2 linked regions of the Canis lupus familiaris genome follow. The protein of the gene in region 1 purifies or fractionates together with the protein of each later gene. This does not show direct contact. Links are inferred from orthologs where the notes say so. Each region holds a gene or a part of one and is shown on either strand. Other genes may lie near its edges.

Evidence for each region. Proteins that work in one complex are often made in the same cells at the same time.
Region 2: the proteins of DNMBP (region 1) and DNM2 purify together in Homo sapiens (co-immunoprecipitation; 3 studies listed by BioGRID and IntAct, with this or other methods). This does not show direct contact. The link is inferred for Canis lupus familiaris from reciprocal best matches to the Homo sapiens genes DNMBP and DNM2.

Annotation. Positions count from the first base shown.
Region 1 is NC_049249.1:12,996,192-13,002,974, reverse strand, and holds part of DNMBP (dynamin-binding protein), read left to right. Parts: intron 1-3,362; coding exon 3,363-5,375; intron 5,376-6,783. UniProt on the Homo sapiens protein: Plays a critical role as a guanine nucleotide exchange factor (GEF) for CDC42 in several intracellular processes associated with the actin and microtubule cytoskeleton.
Region 2 is NC_049241.1:50,881,887-50,889,244, reverse strand, and holds the start of DNM2 (dynamin-2), read left to right. Parts: upstream 1-2,474; 5' UTR 2,475-2,616; coding exon 2,617-2,777; intron 2,778-7,358. Other genes in the region: QTRT1 (queuine tRNA-ribosyltransferase catalytic subunit 1), read left to right, coding at 8-160. UniProt on the Homo sapiens protein: Catalyzes the hydrolysis of GTP and utilizes this energy to mediate vesicle scission at plasma membrane during endocytosis and filament remodeling at many actin structures during organization of the actin cytoskeleton.

The DNA of each region.
Region 1 (6,783 bases):
AGGAAAAGCAAGCCCTAGTATGATGGTTTTCTGGAGATCTGGCAAAGCAAGGAAAATATTATAACCCTATAGCTTTAGGAAAGCCAGTTCATTTAAAAGCCAGTGAAGTGGAACTTGTGGCCACCTTTTATTCTTCTTCTTCACCAAAAGGCCTATCGTGCCTATTGTGTCTCCAATGAGTTCTGTCTCTGGTTCTGATGGAATAGCCTTAGAGTTAGTGGGTTGAAAAATCACTTGTATAATTCTCAGGACTCCAAGCTCTAACCAATCGCTATTGAGTCATAAACTAAAGGAATATAGAAACAGAGAATCAAGACCCTATTTTTCAAGAATATCTAAGCAAAACATATCAAATCAGTGAGAACATATTGGTTGCCTTCCACCAAGTGCAAAAGCTTACATTATGTGCTGTATAGTATATAAAAATACAAGTGCCAAAATTAATGACGTAAACGATCATTTCTTTAGTAGGCTACAGATGACCAAGATGAATGTGGATTTCCAAGGTGTCTTGGAGAGGTATGCTAGGGTTTCAGATGGACGGGCTTATGTAGGAGCTAATGAAAATGCCCTTGTGTGGAATAGGGTCTCATAGGTGAAATATTGGCTGGCTGGGGTGGGGGTGAGAGGTAGTGGATGCCAGGTTGCACTGAGGTAAAAACATTAAAAAAAAACATACCCAGGTTAGACTGATACTTAGTTACTAAACTAACTAAATCTCTTTAGAGAGTGTCTGGAGCAAACATATATTTCAGATAATAAGAATAGGATTTTTAGAGAAGAATCCTATAAGAGTAGGAAGAAGCTTTCATGCCTTGTGGGACAAGTTTGAGCAGGAGAGGGATGTGATAAGCTTGGTACATTGATCAGCTTAGTTTGGCATAAATCATTTGGAAGAGACTGGAAGAGACAAAGTCTGGGACAAGGTAAGAGAGTGAGATGATGGGGCACCTGGGTGGCTCAGTGGTTGAGCATCTACCTTTGGCTCAGGGCATGATCCCGGGGTCCTGGGATCAAGTTCTGCATCAGGCTCCCCACAGGGATCCTGCTTCTCCCTCTGCCTGTGTCTCTGCCTCTCTCTGTGTCTCTCGTGAATAAGTAAATAAAATCTTTAAAAAAAGAAAAGAAAAGAGAGTGAGATGATGATTGTTGGACTACGTGGTAGCAAGAGCAAGTAATGAGTGGAAACAATTTCTGCAAGAAGATATTAAAGGGAGAGGAAACGGGTGGCTCAGTCAGTTAAGTGTCTGCCTTGGGCACAAATCATGATCTTTGAGTCCTGGGATGAGCCCCAATTTGGGCCTCCTGCTCAGCAAGGGGTTCTTCTTCTCCCTCTCCCTCTGCACCCCTCTCTGCCCTGCTTGTGCTCGTGTGTGCTCTCTCTCTCTCCCTTGCTCATTCTCAAATAGATAAAATCTTTTTTTTTAAGGCATATAAGAAAATATTAAAGGGAAAGAGGAAGCTAGCAGCCTGGAGCCAGTTTTGGAGGGAAGATGTGATTAATTTATTTGGGACTTGGAGTTGGAGAATCATTGTCGTTATCAAATGGACATGGAACACTTGCTATGTGAAAGGCATTGTATCCAAGTCAGGAAATACACGAGATAAGTGGTACCTGCCATTAAGTAATATGTGATTCACTTGGTGGGAAGATAGGACAGACTTGATTTGTTTATACATCAAGAGCATGCAAGTTAATACCCTAAACGATAATCCAATTTCAAAATATGCTTGACTATAAAAGGACTTACATGGCTTTATTAGGTGCTCTGCTGTCCTGGTCTTATTTTCCTTGGGCTGATTCCATTCCTTGATCACCTCTGCTGATGAAAGTGAAGTTGACTAGGTGTTGAGGAAGTTTAAAAAAGGTTAAAACTGATAATTCACAAAATGAACAATCCATCATCAGATAATTAAGCGTTTGTTATAAAACAATTTATTACAGAACTATAGAGTAGTTCCTTAAGTTGGGGGGAATCCTCTAAAACTGAGTTTTAACTTCATTTTCTTCCAGAATCACTGTGCCCTATCCTTCCTTTACCTTACTTCATTCAACAGTAATATAGATACTAACTGGTCAACTTACATTTTTGTGAAGTTAACCTGAAACATCGACATTGGAACTATTTTCAAAAACAAAAGTACTGATTGCCAGAACATGCTTTTAGGATTTCATTATGATGTATCGTCAGGGTAAGGATAGTTCAAAACGGCTTCTGGAAGAAGTAAATGAAGAGCTTGTTGCCCACACCCTGTACTGCCATCAAAGAAACCATTCCTGAAGATTTCTTTCATTGTTTCATATTTGCTACTGATAGCAGTTAGTATGAGAGAGCCGATGCATCTGTACAAAGGATTTTAGTGGACACGTGTATATTCTTTATCATTTATAAACTAATCCAATGGCATAGACTGTAAGAACATTGTTTATAGTGGCATTTTTCAAACTTCTTGGTCCTAGGAGCCTTTTATACTCTTAAAAGTTATTGAGGCACTAAAGAGCTCTTGCTTATGTGGGTCTGTTGATATTTGCAATGTGAGCTATTAAAACAGAAATTTTTAAAACATTTATCAATTCATTTTTTAAAACCTATTTTTTAAGAGTGTATTTATTCATGAGAGACACAGAGAGAGAGAGAGGCAGAGACATAGGCAGAGGGAGAAGGAAGCTCCCCACAGGGAGCCTGATGCGGGACTCCATCGCAGGAACCCAGGACCATGCCCTGAGCTAAAAGCAGATGCTCAGCCACTGAGCCACCCAGGCACCCCTAAAACCTATTATATACTAACATAAATAGCATATTTTTAATGAAAAACAATCAGTTTTCTAACAAAATATAGTGAGAAGAGTATCATTGGTTTACATTTTTGCAAATTTGGTTTAATAGAAGAGAGCTAGATTCTCATATTTGTATTTATATTCAATCTGCTATGATATATTGTTGTTTTAACTGAAGTATATGTAAAATGTATGAAGAAAATATGATAGTTTTGACTTTCCAGACTCTCTGAAAGGATAAGTATTATGCCCTTAAAACTCCAGAGGTACATTTTCCTGAATCTGATAGATGTTTAAAATGATGAGTTGTTTTGGGATCCCTGGGTGGCGCAGCGGTTTAGCGCCTGCCTTTGGCCCAGGGCGCGATCCTGGAGACTCAGGATCAAATCCCACGTCAGGCTCCAGTGCATGGAGCCTGCTTCTCCCTCTGCCTATGTCTCTGCCTCTCTCTCTCTCTCTCTCTCTGTGTGACTATCATAAATAAATAAAAATTTAAAAAAAAATGATGAGTTGTTTTCTTAGTTACAGTAATGTTCTTCTCGGGAGATGACTTAGGTCATTATCTTTGCTTCTCTTTCTTCAGGTGATCTGGTGATTCTTGATGATGCTCCCACTGCCAGCTGGCTGCAGGGCCGAAGCTGCTGGGGTGCCCGCGGCTTCTTCCCATCCTCATGTGTGCGGGAGCTCTGCCTCTCCTCGCAGAGCCGGCGGTGGCACTCCCAGAGCGCCCTGCTCCAAATTCCAGAATACTCAATGGGACAAGCCCGGGCACTGATGGGGCTTTCAGCCCAGTTGGATGAGGAGCTGGACTTCAGAGAAGGGGATGTGATTACCATCATTGGAGTTCCTGAACCAGGCTGGTTTGAAGGGGAATTAGAGGGCCGAAGAGGCATTTTTCCAGAAGGGTTTGTAGAGCTTTTGGGGCCCCTTAGAACTGTGGATGAGTTGGTAAGTTCTGGAAATCACAATGACTGCATTATTAATGGTGAAGAAGAGACCCCTACAGGAGAAGAGGAGAGGGGGCCAGAGGAGGATGAGGAGCAGCCGGGGACCTATGGAATTGCCCTCTACAGATTCCAGGCCCTGGAGCCGAATGAGTTGGATTTTGAGGTAGGTGATAAAATCCGAATTCTGGGGACACTGGAAGATGGCTGGCTAGAAGGATCACTGAAGGGCAGGACAGGCATCTTTCCTTACCGATTTGTGAAGCTGTTTTCTAAAACAAGAGCAGAGGAGACCATGGACCTGCCAAAGGAAAGCAGCCCTACTGAAATCCCTGACACTTCCTTAGATTGTCGAGAGAACCCCTTAGTGGTGGAGGGAAGGCACAAATCTCCTGAATATAAAGCAGAGAAGTCCAACTGTGTCATTTCTGAAACATCTGCTTCTCCCCTGGAGCATCTGACTTCTGAGTGTGAAGTACACAAAAGCTCTCATCAGGATGAGGGCACCTCACGGGGGCCCCCAAGAAGCCCAGGCTGGGGCCATGAACAGCCTCTTGCCAGACACTCTCCTGCAGAGGATCCTTCAGAGACAATCAACGGGGTTTCCTCCCAATCTCAGGTACCTTTTCGTCCCAGATGGCAGCAAAACCAGTATTATTCTACAACAGGAAGGGGCCACCTAAGCACAGAGCAGTACTCTGACCCTCTTCCCTTAGAAGCCAAAGCGAAAGACTACTCCAGCCGGCCTCCCAGAGGAATGTACTCTCCACCAAAAACCTTTCAGAAGCCCGTGCCATCTCCTCACGGTAGCTCTTGTCCTTTGGCCCCTAGGGTGGTCAGACCTAGCCTGCTGAGCTCTCAGCTCCAGAGCATGGTTAGAGGTGCTAAAAAGTACCACACACCCAAAGAAAATGCCTCCAGCTTTTGTTCTGCATCAGAGAGATCAGAAGTGAAGGCCGGTCTACAAGACAGGGCGTTTACAGCAGACTTGATAGCACTGGGGCAGGGAGGAGGCCACACTGACCTGGATTCTAAGTTGACACAACAGTTGGTAGAGTTTGAAAAGAGCCTGTCAGGACCCGGTGCAGAACCAGAGGCAATCTTGCGCCACTTTTCAATCATGAACTTTAACTCTGAGAAGGACATTGTCCGAGGTTCCTCAAAGTCAATCACCCCACAGGAGCTGCCTGAGAGGAGAAGAGCCCTCAGGCCCCCACCACCGCGTCCCAGTACTCCAGCATCCACCTCCCCCCATGTGCTTCTTGACCAGAACCTGAAGCCGGAACCACCCTTGGCAATGCGACCCTCTCGCCCAGCTCCCCTGCCTCCCTCGGCACAGCACAGGGTGACTGCAGTCACCCCCGGGCTCTTGACCCCCGGGCTCTTCACCCATGAGAGCTGTGAGTCCCCAGAGAAGGAGGGCCCTGAGAACCTGGACCAGACTTTGGACCAGACTTCCCAGTGTCCACTCGTATTGGTGAGGATTCAGGAAATGGAACAAGACTTGGATATGTGTAGCCCAGCTCCAGAAGAGCCGAACTTAACACTGGAGGAGAAGCAGGATGAATCTCTAAGGGCTGAGACCCCTGAGGATCTTGAGTTCTATGAGAGCAACATTGAAAGTTTGAATATGGAACTCCAGCAACTCAGAGGTAAGTGACGACGAAGTACGAGGTACACATTCCTTGACATCCACAAGTCCACATAACAGCCTCCCCATGTTTTTCAGGGAGATGTTACCATCTTTGATTGACAAAGAATGAGTTGCTTTTTCATTACCTAATTTCTTACTCTGTCTCCCAATTCGACTGCTCTGTTTTGATATATCTTACAACTGTAGCCTCCTGACTTCACTTGCTGCTCAGATGGAGCAGCTGAGACCTCTGACATTTATACCTCCTGTGGTGCTAAGGCCTCCGTAGCAGTCCTATATGTGGGAGGTCCTGAATATAATGACCTTCTTTAACCAGGCTCTAATAAGGATTAAAGACTTCTAGGCTAAGATTCATGAAAAAACTCCATCTTATAACTTTGTGGTTTAAGGATTAGGTTTCAATAGTAACTGTAAGAGTTAACAATTATTAACTTGTTCATAATATGGACTTGTTACCATTTGCTTGCACAAATAATCCACAGCCACCCTAAATGTCTTGGGGTAATGCATACAGCTGCTTGATAAATGAGGAAGATAAGATTTGTAGAGAGTGAGTAGCTTACCAAGGGAGCTGGGAGCTCCTGTTTTTACTATAGTTTTCTGCTTTCCATCTTGTGTGTTCAAAAATTTTCTGTCCCTTACCTGAGGGGTGACTCACCAGCCTCAGGGGACTCCATTCACGTTCACCAGATTCACATGAGAAATGATTTCTAGAGGAGGAAGAGGCAGAAAGCAAGGCAACATCAGCAGTCTAGGGCCCAAGGACGACATGGCCGTGTCACTTTAGGCAGGTATGCCAGAGAGCTCTGAGCCCATGTGTCATCAGGGCAGAAAACACTACAGACTAATCTGTGGACATAGGGCCTACAGGATACTAATGGATAAAGGCGGGAGAATGGTGGGCCAGGTACACGGACTCCCTTCCCTCTACTTCAGACTGCTGAACGTGACTGAGAAAATAAGTTCCGAGGAGAAAGAATATTATGGGAAGGCCAGAAATTGAGTCATTTTCTGGAAGATGGAAAGCAGATGGTACTACAGAGAGGAGACTTCTATCTGAATATGCTCAGGAGAGGACTGCTCTACAAGGGAGCACAGGTCTGAGGGAGACCTGTGGCAGACTCAGAGGTGGGGCAGTAGGAGGGGGTCCTGGAGCAAATTTGGTGTGATGAGTTGGGGAAGAGCTAGGCCACTGAGCCCTCAGGTCACTGTGCTGATTGGGGGCGGGGATAGGGAGGTGGGGGCAGCAGCAATTACCCTCCAGGTGAAGCATGAGGAGGAGCGCTGGGGCAGGTCCTCAAAAGGTGAACATGTAGGGGTGCCTGGCCAGCTCAGCTCAGTTGGTAGAGCATGCAACTCTTGGTCTTGGGGTGGTGAGCTTGAGCCCCATGTTAGGGATAGATTTT
Region 2 (7,358 bases), on another chromosome or scaffold:
CCTGCAGCTGCAGCTGATGAGTGCTGTGCGTGCCAGCATTGTGGAGAAGCGCTTCCCTGACTTCGTGCGGGACTTCATGGGCACCATGTATGGGGACCCCACCCTCTGTCCCACCTGGGCCACTGAAGCCCTGGCCTCTGTGGGAATCACACTGCGTTGATCTGGCTTGGGGGAGGGAGGGAACAGGAGGTATTGGAAGGATTTTTAAAAAATTATTATTCTAACTTAGACTATCTGTGCCTTCTTGGGAAGGTGGCCTGTCTCAGTCCTCTTCTTCCTCTGAGTGTCTCTGTGGCCAGTGTTCCCTCCCCTTGTTGATAATAATAAGTAACCACAGCAGCAGCTGATATCTGGAAACTACCTGGCTCAGCCCAGCATAGAGGATGCGCCACAGTGTGGGAGCTGCATCCTTTTTCCTCTGGCTCAAGGCCTCCAGCTGTCCTGAGAGGGGCACCTCTTGTTCCCCCACTTTTCAAAAGTGAGGAAACAGGCATAGAGGGAAATAGCTTCCCCAGGGTCACCACTGAGAAGTAGTAGCCTGGCTCCAGTGCTCATGCTCTTAGCCTTGACTCTTGACTTGTGGCACAATTTTGCTGTCAGTAAACATGGTGAGGACGGTAGGTGTGATCCAGCCGGTGCTTACACTGTGCCTGGTACTGTTCTAAATGGCTGTTGTCTGTGTTTAGTTCTTGCCACCCTATGATGCACGTGTAGCTGCATTCCCCATTTTACAGATAAGGAGACAGGTTTAGAGGAATGACATGAGCAAATAGGCGCATGACTTAACCTAGATATGGCCAATTACAGAGCTGCTGCTCTGAGAAGATAAGGGTTTTTATATTGAGAAAGTAATCCAAAAGTAGGATCCACTATTCCAATAGCATAAAAATGCAACTACTTTCATCAATGTGTGTATTCTCTCAGAGGTTTTCCATGTGTATATATTTTTCATGAATGTGGGCCTCCTTTACGAGTGGTTCTGTATCTTTTTTTTTCTCTCAGTATATTTCAAATTGTTAACATGTCGGAACATGAAGACTTCCTGTGTTTCTTACAGTTCTTGCACAGTATTTATTTAACCAGCTCAGAGAAGGAGCTTCTAGGGTGTTTCCAGGTTGCCGTGGTGAAGGCTGCAATGCCACGCCTTGTCTCGGTTGACTTTTTTGCCCATCTCTCTGCAATCGGGGTTTTAGGTCTTGGAGCAGGCATATACCATGGGCCACTCTGCCGTCCTCCTCCCCACTATTTCTCTATTCCTCCGATACTGCCCCATACTGCCCCATACGGCCCACTTCCCTACCTCCATGGCATCTGACTCCTTATTGGGCTGCTTCTCTGGCCAATCCACGCCCAGGGGATCAAATCACTTCTCATAAAATCCTTCCACCTATCTCAGGCTTTTTTCCCACGAGGTCAAGATTCCTAGTTCCAACACTGCAAAATAGTATCTTTTCAAGGGGAGAGGATCCGTTGAGTTTCATTGGGTGCTCCAAGAGGTCACGATGCGCTCAAGTTGAAGAGGTAGGGGAACAACGTTGCAGCTGTTAGCCGAGTCAAGTCGTGGCGTGAGCGGAGGGTGTTCCTAGGAAAGGGCACAAAATTTGTAAAAGCATGAAGGTGGGACTTTATAGGAATAAAAGGGAGAGACAAGGATGCAGCGCCAGCCCGCCTCTCCCTAGGAACCACTAACGCCCGATTAATCTTCAAAGTGTATTGCAACCCCGCGCGAAGAGTTGGTTTGCAAGCCCGGGGCCGAGATGCGTTCTGGGACTTGTAGTTTTCTCTAGAGGCCGGAAACGCAGAAGCGATTATCATTACCAGGTCCCACCACGAGGTGTCGCCCTTCTTTGAGTACCGTGGCCCTTCTTTACTCCAGAAGACTCTAATAGACCTACAACAATCACAAGAACGGGAGATTCTTTGATTGACAGCTAAGTTCTCAATCAAAGTCAGGATTCGGAGGTCAACGCCCGTCCTCTTTGGCTTTGTTGGTTGGAGGAACGGAGTGATATTTATATAAGCCAATGGGAAATTCTTAGGGAACTAGGTAGTATCAAGTGACAAACCAGAGTCTATGAATCGATCCCTAACGTCATTGGCCCGCACTGTTGACTGGCCCGTCTTCCTGCCAATGAGACTTAGGTTTTCTTGCCGTCAGGGACCTCCCCAAGATGGGCGGGGCCAACAGTGCCTTTTCCCGAAACACCGCCTCCTGGCCTTGACAACTCGCTGCCCCACGCTATTGGCTCTTGCGCAGAAACGACAGTTCTGGCGTCCAATGCGCCCGCCGGGAGGTCCCCAGGGGGAAGGTCTACTCAACCGGAGACCTATGCCTCTCTTTCATTGGCTCCTGGGTACGAGTGGCAGCGGGGCCGGCCAATCGGGGGCGGCATGAGGGCTTTGGGCGCAGCCCCGGGGCCCGGGCGGGAGGTCGCTCGGGTCGGGTGTCGTCTGAGAACCGGATGAGGCGGCGACTGTGAGGCCGAGCCGGGAGCGGGCGTCGCGCCGAGGCCCGGGCGGGCGGGGAGCAACGGCCGCGGACGCCGCGGGGCCGCGTCGTTAAGGGCCGGGGGCAGGCGGGGAGCGCGGGGCGCTCGGGCCGGGGCCGCCGGCGCCATGGGCAACCGCGGGATGGAAGAGCTGATCCCGCTGGTCAACAAGCTGCAGGACGCTTTCAGCTCCATCGGCCAGAGCTGCCACCTGGACCTGCCGCAGATCGCCGTGGTGGGCGGCCAGAGCGCCGGCAAGAGCTCGGTGCTCGAGAACTTCGTAGGCCGGTGAGCGAGCGCGGCGGCGACGGCGGGCGGGCGGCGGCCTAGGGCGCGGAGGGCGGACCGGGAATGGCGCGCCCTGCGCAGCCGGCGTAACTGCGGCGCTTGCGTGCCCGCGACGGGGACGGGGACGGGGAGGCGGGCTCTGTGGGACGCCCCGGGCGGAGGGCTTCCTGCCGGGCTGGGGAGCCGGCTCGGGCCCTCGGGGCGTCTCACCGGCCGGGGGGCGTGGGCCAGGAAGTGCGGTGGACCGTCGCCGACTCCTCTGTGCCCAGCTTTCCACGGCCGAGCTCTACCATCGGGGGGTCAGGGTCAAGTCCCTCTTCCCTGTCTGTCCGAACCCTGCCAGCCAGATACCTATTGGTTCGACCCCTGTGGTCTGGCTGGCTGTTCACTTCTCTGGAGCAGCCCCTGCCGTCTGGTTGGCCGTCGCTCTGTCCTGGATGGAACTCCTTGCCGCCACCATTTGGCTGTCCATCTGTCCAGTCCCTCCGGGCAGCCCCCCGCCGCCTGGCTAGCTGTCTAGGGCGACCTGTGCTGTCTGGCCGCCTCGCAGACTTTCACACTTAGCCGTACCTCTGTTGGGTTACGCTGGCTGGCTTCTGCAGTCTGGCTGGCTGGCTGGACCCTAGGGTCTCTGTTGTCTGGTTCTCTTAGGCTGACTCTAAAGCTTGGTCCCTTGCAAATACTGACTTCTGGCCCAAATTGATCCTTTCTTCTGTCTGTAGAGGTGTCGAGCCTTGTCACTGCCTGCCCTTCAGTGCGCTGGCAGTCCCTGGCTGTCTGGCCCTACCCCTGCAGTAGTGGGTAGGGGGAGCATGCAGTGGACAAGGGAGCTGAGGGATGAAACTTGAATTTCTGTATCAGTTGGAAATAGGATCCTGGGAGGAACTTTCTGCTGGATTCTTTCCTGACCCTTAGAGTGTTCTGGGGCCCCAGAACACAGGGGCCAGCTCCCAAGCGAAAACCTGCAAATTGGCGGCTGTCTGTTGGAGCCTGATCAGGCTTTTGGGTAGCTCTGAGAAGCCTCAGTTTGCCCATCTGTCCGGTGGGCAAACTCCACTCATTGGGTGGTTTCCAGGATTCAGGAAGCTGATGAATGAAAATGTGTGGCTTCCAGGGGTGTTTGGTTCTTTCCTCTCCCTTCCCCCCAGTCTGCCCTTCTGCCTCCCAGATGGGCTGTCACTTCTCCATTCTGGGACAGACTCCATTTGTGCCTGTGGCTGCCAAGTGATAACATCACAGTCATCGTTATTATTACTGTGGCTGTTATTGGTGTTGAGGGGTAATGTTCATCTGGCAGGCCCCAGGCTGAGTTCTTTTGTCAGCATCTTAAACCCCACAGAGTGAGGTGGAGGTTCTGTTAACCCCACCTTACATACAAGCAGGGAAGCTCAGAAAAGACTCATCCTTGGCCCAAGAGCACCAGGCTAGCACTTAGTGGAACCCAGCTGGGTGCCCAGCCCCGCCTTGCCTTCCCAGAGGCCTGAAGTTTTGCTCTCAGCGGCACGAATTTCCTCCTTTGCTGCTTTGTCTCTGGCGCCTTGCCTGTTGTCCAGTGTGGCGGAAAGGTGTGGACTTGGGGTCAGCTGCGCCTGGCCTGAGCCTTGGGCTGGGCTGTGGGTCCCGTTTGCATGGTTATCTTCTTGCCTGCCCAGGCTTTCAGTGGGCACACAGCAAAGTTCTGTCCATTTCATTTGCCTTGTGACCTTGCACAGGTAGTTTGGCCTCTCTAAACTTCAGTTTCCCCTTCATCATGGCGACAAGACTGTTGCCATGGTGCAGGGACCTGATATGTTGGAAGTGCTTACTTAACACAGTGTGTGGCACACAGTAGGTTGACATGGACGGGCTGTTATTCACCATGCTGTTCTCATGTCAGCAGCAAAAACTAATCAGGATGAAAGTGCTTTTGAGTTACATGCTGGACTGTATTTAAGTCTTATGAGGCGGACTCTGCTTTGACCCCATTTTACAGAGCAGAAAACCGAGGCTCAACTGAGCACTCTTGCTCAAGGCCATTCGGTGAGGAATTCAGGGCTCTAGGTGGTGGGGGGCTGGGGTTTCTTTCCCCTGTCCTCAGTCTGTCTGGCGCTCGCCTTTCTCTCTTACCCACCCACCCACGCAGTCATCTACTGAGCTGGCTCCTGTGGCAACCTCCTCCCAGAAAGCCTGCAATGTGACCTTGGTCGTTAAGAGCATTAGTTCAGGGCCTGAGAACCAGACTTGTAAAAAAAGGCTTCTCGGGTATGGGTTGCTCAAACAGAGCTATCTTCTTTTTATTTCTGGAGTGTGGGTAAGGTCTCTTAGCTACCAAGCCCTGCCGTAGGGGGTGGCAGGCGGGCCTCATTTTGAATGAGGACCTGTTTGCTTCTTTGCACTCTGGACCTTTACAGTGGACATCTTGGCTAGTTTCAAGGGACAAATGAGAGCGCATGTCGAGGGCCTGTGCCTGGGGCTCAGCACGGGCTGCTCTGCTTCATTGCCTCTTTCTTGTTGGTTTTCTAAGAATGTGGTCCAAGTGAGGATGGCCCAGTTAGCTCAGCCTATACCAGTGGTGGCAGATTGGCAGCCCTGGGGTGCCGAGGCCTGCTTGCTGGTCTTTTGTTTCACCTGCACAGCATTTATAAAATCTTTTGTTTTTAATTAACTGCCAGTAGTTAAGTTTCACATCAAAATTCAGATTTTGGCAGTGCTTAGCAGACACTCACAGGTCTTTCTAGAATTTAGTGCTGTAATACGTGGGCTCCAGGCCTTCGGTCTGGCTCCAGCATGTTTGGTTGTGTGACTTTGGCTAGGTGGACTCAGGTTCCTTTTCTATAAAATGGGGTAATAGCTAGACCCTCCCCAGGGGGACTGCTTGAGTTAATGGGCGTCGAGTGCATTGACTCTATCCCCATGGCCATTTTTTTTAATCCCCTCCGACAATTTATAATTGTCGTTATAATCATATTCTGGCCTCCCTGGGCCCAAGTCTTGGTTGGCACCAAGTCTTTGGATCTCAGAAGCAGCAGCCACTGGCTTCCAGGTCAGACGAGGAGTGGCCACGTGAGCTGCCACACTCCTCACTACTCCCTAGTACTCTCCCAGCCTCAGTTTACATTTGCTTGGAGACTCTTGGCCCTGGAAACCTGAATTTAAAACCCTTGGCTTGTCCACTCGGTACCAGCATGTGGCTCTAAGGAGGAGGGGGAAAGATGTGGCTCTCCAGTGACTCTGGTCTTTTAGCCTCAGCAGCCAAATGGAGGGAGGAGCTGGGGAAATTTTTCATTAGGAGAAGCAGAGGAGGAAGCTGAAGTTTAGGCTTCCAGCCCAGAATCCCATAGGGCTGGGCTTGATCCTGTGAGACATTCCTCCTCTGAGCCTCAGTAGCCCCAACTAGGGAATGGGGCTGTTAACTGGATCTACTCGGGCCCCTTTGAGGTGGTAGGACGTGTGTGTTTCAGCTCTTAGGGCAGATAAAGTCACCTGATGCCTGCTGTTGATGATGGAGTGAGGACTACATGTCTGGGAGAGTGTCTAGCAAAGTGCTTAAAACGCTCTGTAGTTTTCATTTGTTCATTGCAGAATGTCTTCTGAGCACGTGTACTCTGTGCCTGGCCCTATTATGGGGCTGTTGTGGACACAGCCCTAAGTAAGATACCAAAACCCCTGCCCTGGGGGGAGGCAGCCTTCCAGCAAGGGCTGGTAGATAAGGAAGAAACAGGTTGGAAAAATGATAACTTAGGAAAAGAAGAGCAGGGCAAGGGGAAGTTAGGGTCTTAAATAGGGAGACAGTTGAGGGCACTCCTTGGGAAAGTGACATTTGAGCAGAGGCTTAAGGAGGTAAGGGAGGAGCCACCAGTGAAGATTTGTTGAGGTGTGGGGGGAGGGGAGAGCATTTCAGGCTGTGGGAAGAGCAAGTGCAAAGGCCCTGAGGTGGGCATGTGCCTGCAGGCCAGTATAGCAGGAGAGTTGAGGTTAGCAGGTGCTGGGCTAGGGTGGGGTGGGAGGGCTCTGAGCAGAGGGAAGGCTGCAGTGGCGCTATTCCAAGTCTTCCGGACCTGGTTCTGGGCAAGCTGAGGACTTTTGCCTGCGATTTTCAGCTTTACTTCAATTTTCTCAGGGAACAGTACTTGCCAACTCACAGAGGAGCCCAGCTGCCCATGGGTCTCTCCCGTCTCCAGCTCCATTTCCATTGGCTCTTTGGTGATGTGTCCCTCCAGGAGACATGGCCACACCAGGCTGCTGCCTGGCACATGGTGGGTGCTGGACAGATCTTGTCAGATGACTATTGGCAGCTCGTGTCCCTGCCAGACTGAGGGGTAGGCACATGGTCTGCCACTTGGGCTGGTTTGTGCCTTCAGGGATCTTAGGTGTTAAAGCTGCTTGCAAATGACAGCTGTTTCCATTGTTTTACCTTTGGGTGCAAAACTAAAGTTACTTTGCCTGTGTGGTTGGTAGTACCCGGGCCAGCCTGAATGGGGAGAGTCCACAGGCGCCTGTGGGAGTGTCGTTGTCCCTGTCACACGTCGGCAGAATGACCTCACCTTTCTGGGCCTCACTTCACGCATCTGGAGAATGGGGATCGTGATGTTCCCTCTCCCC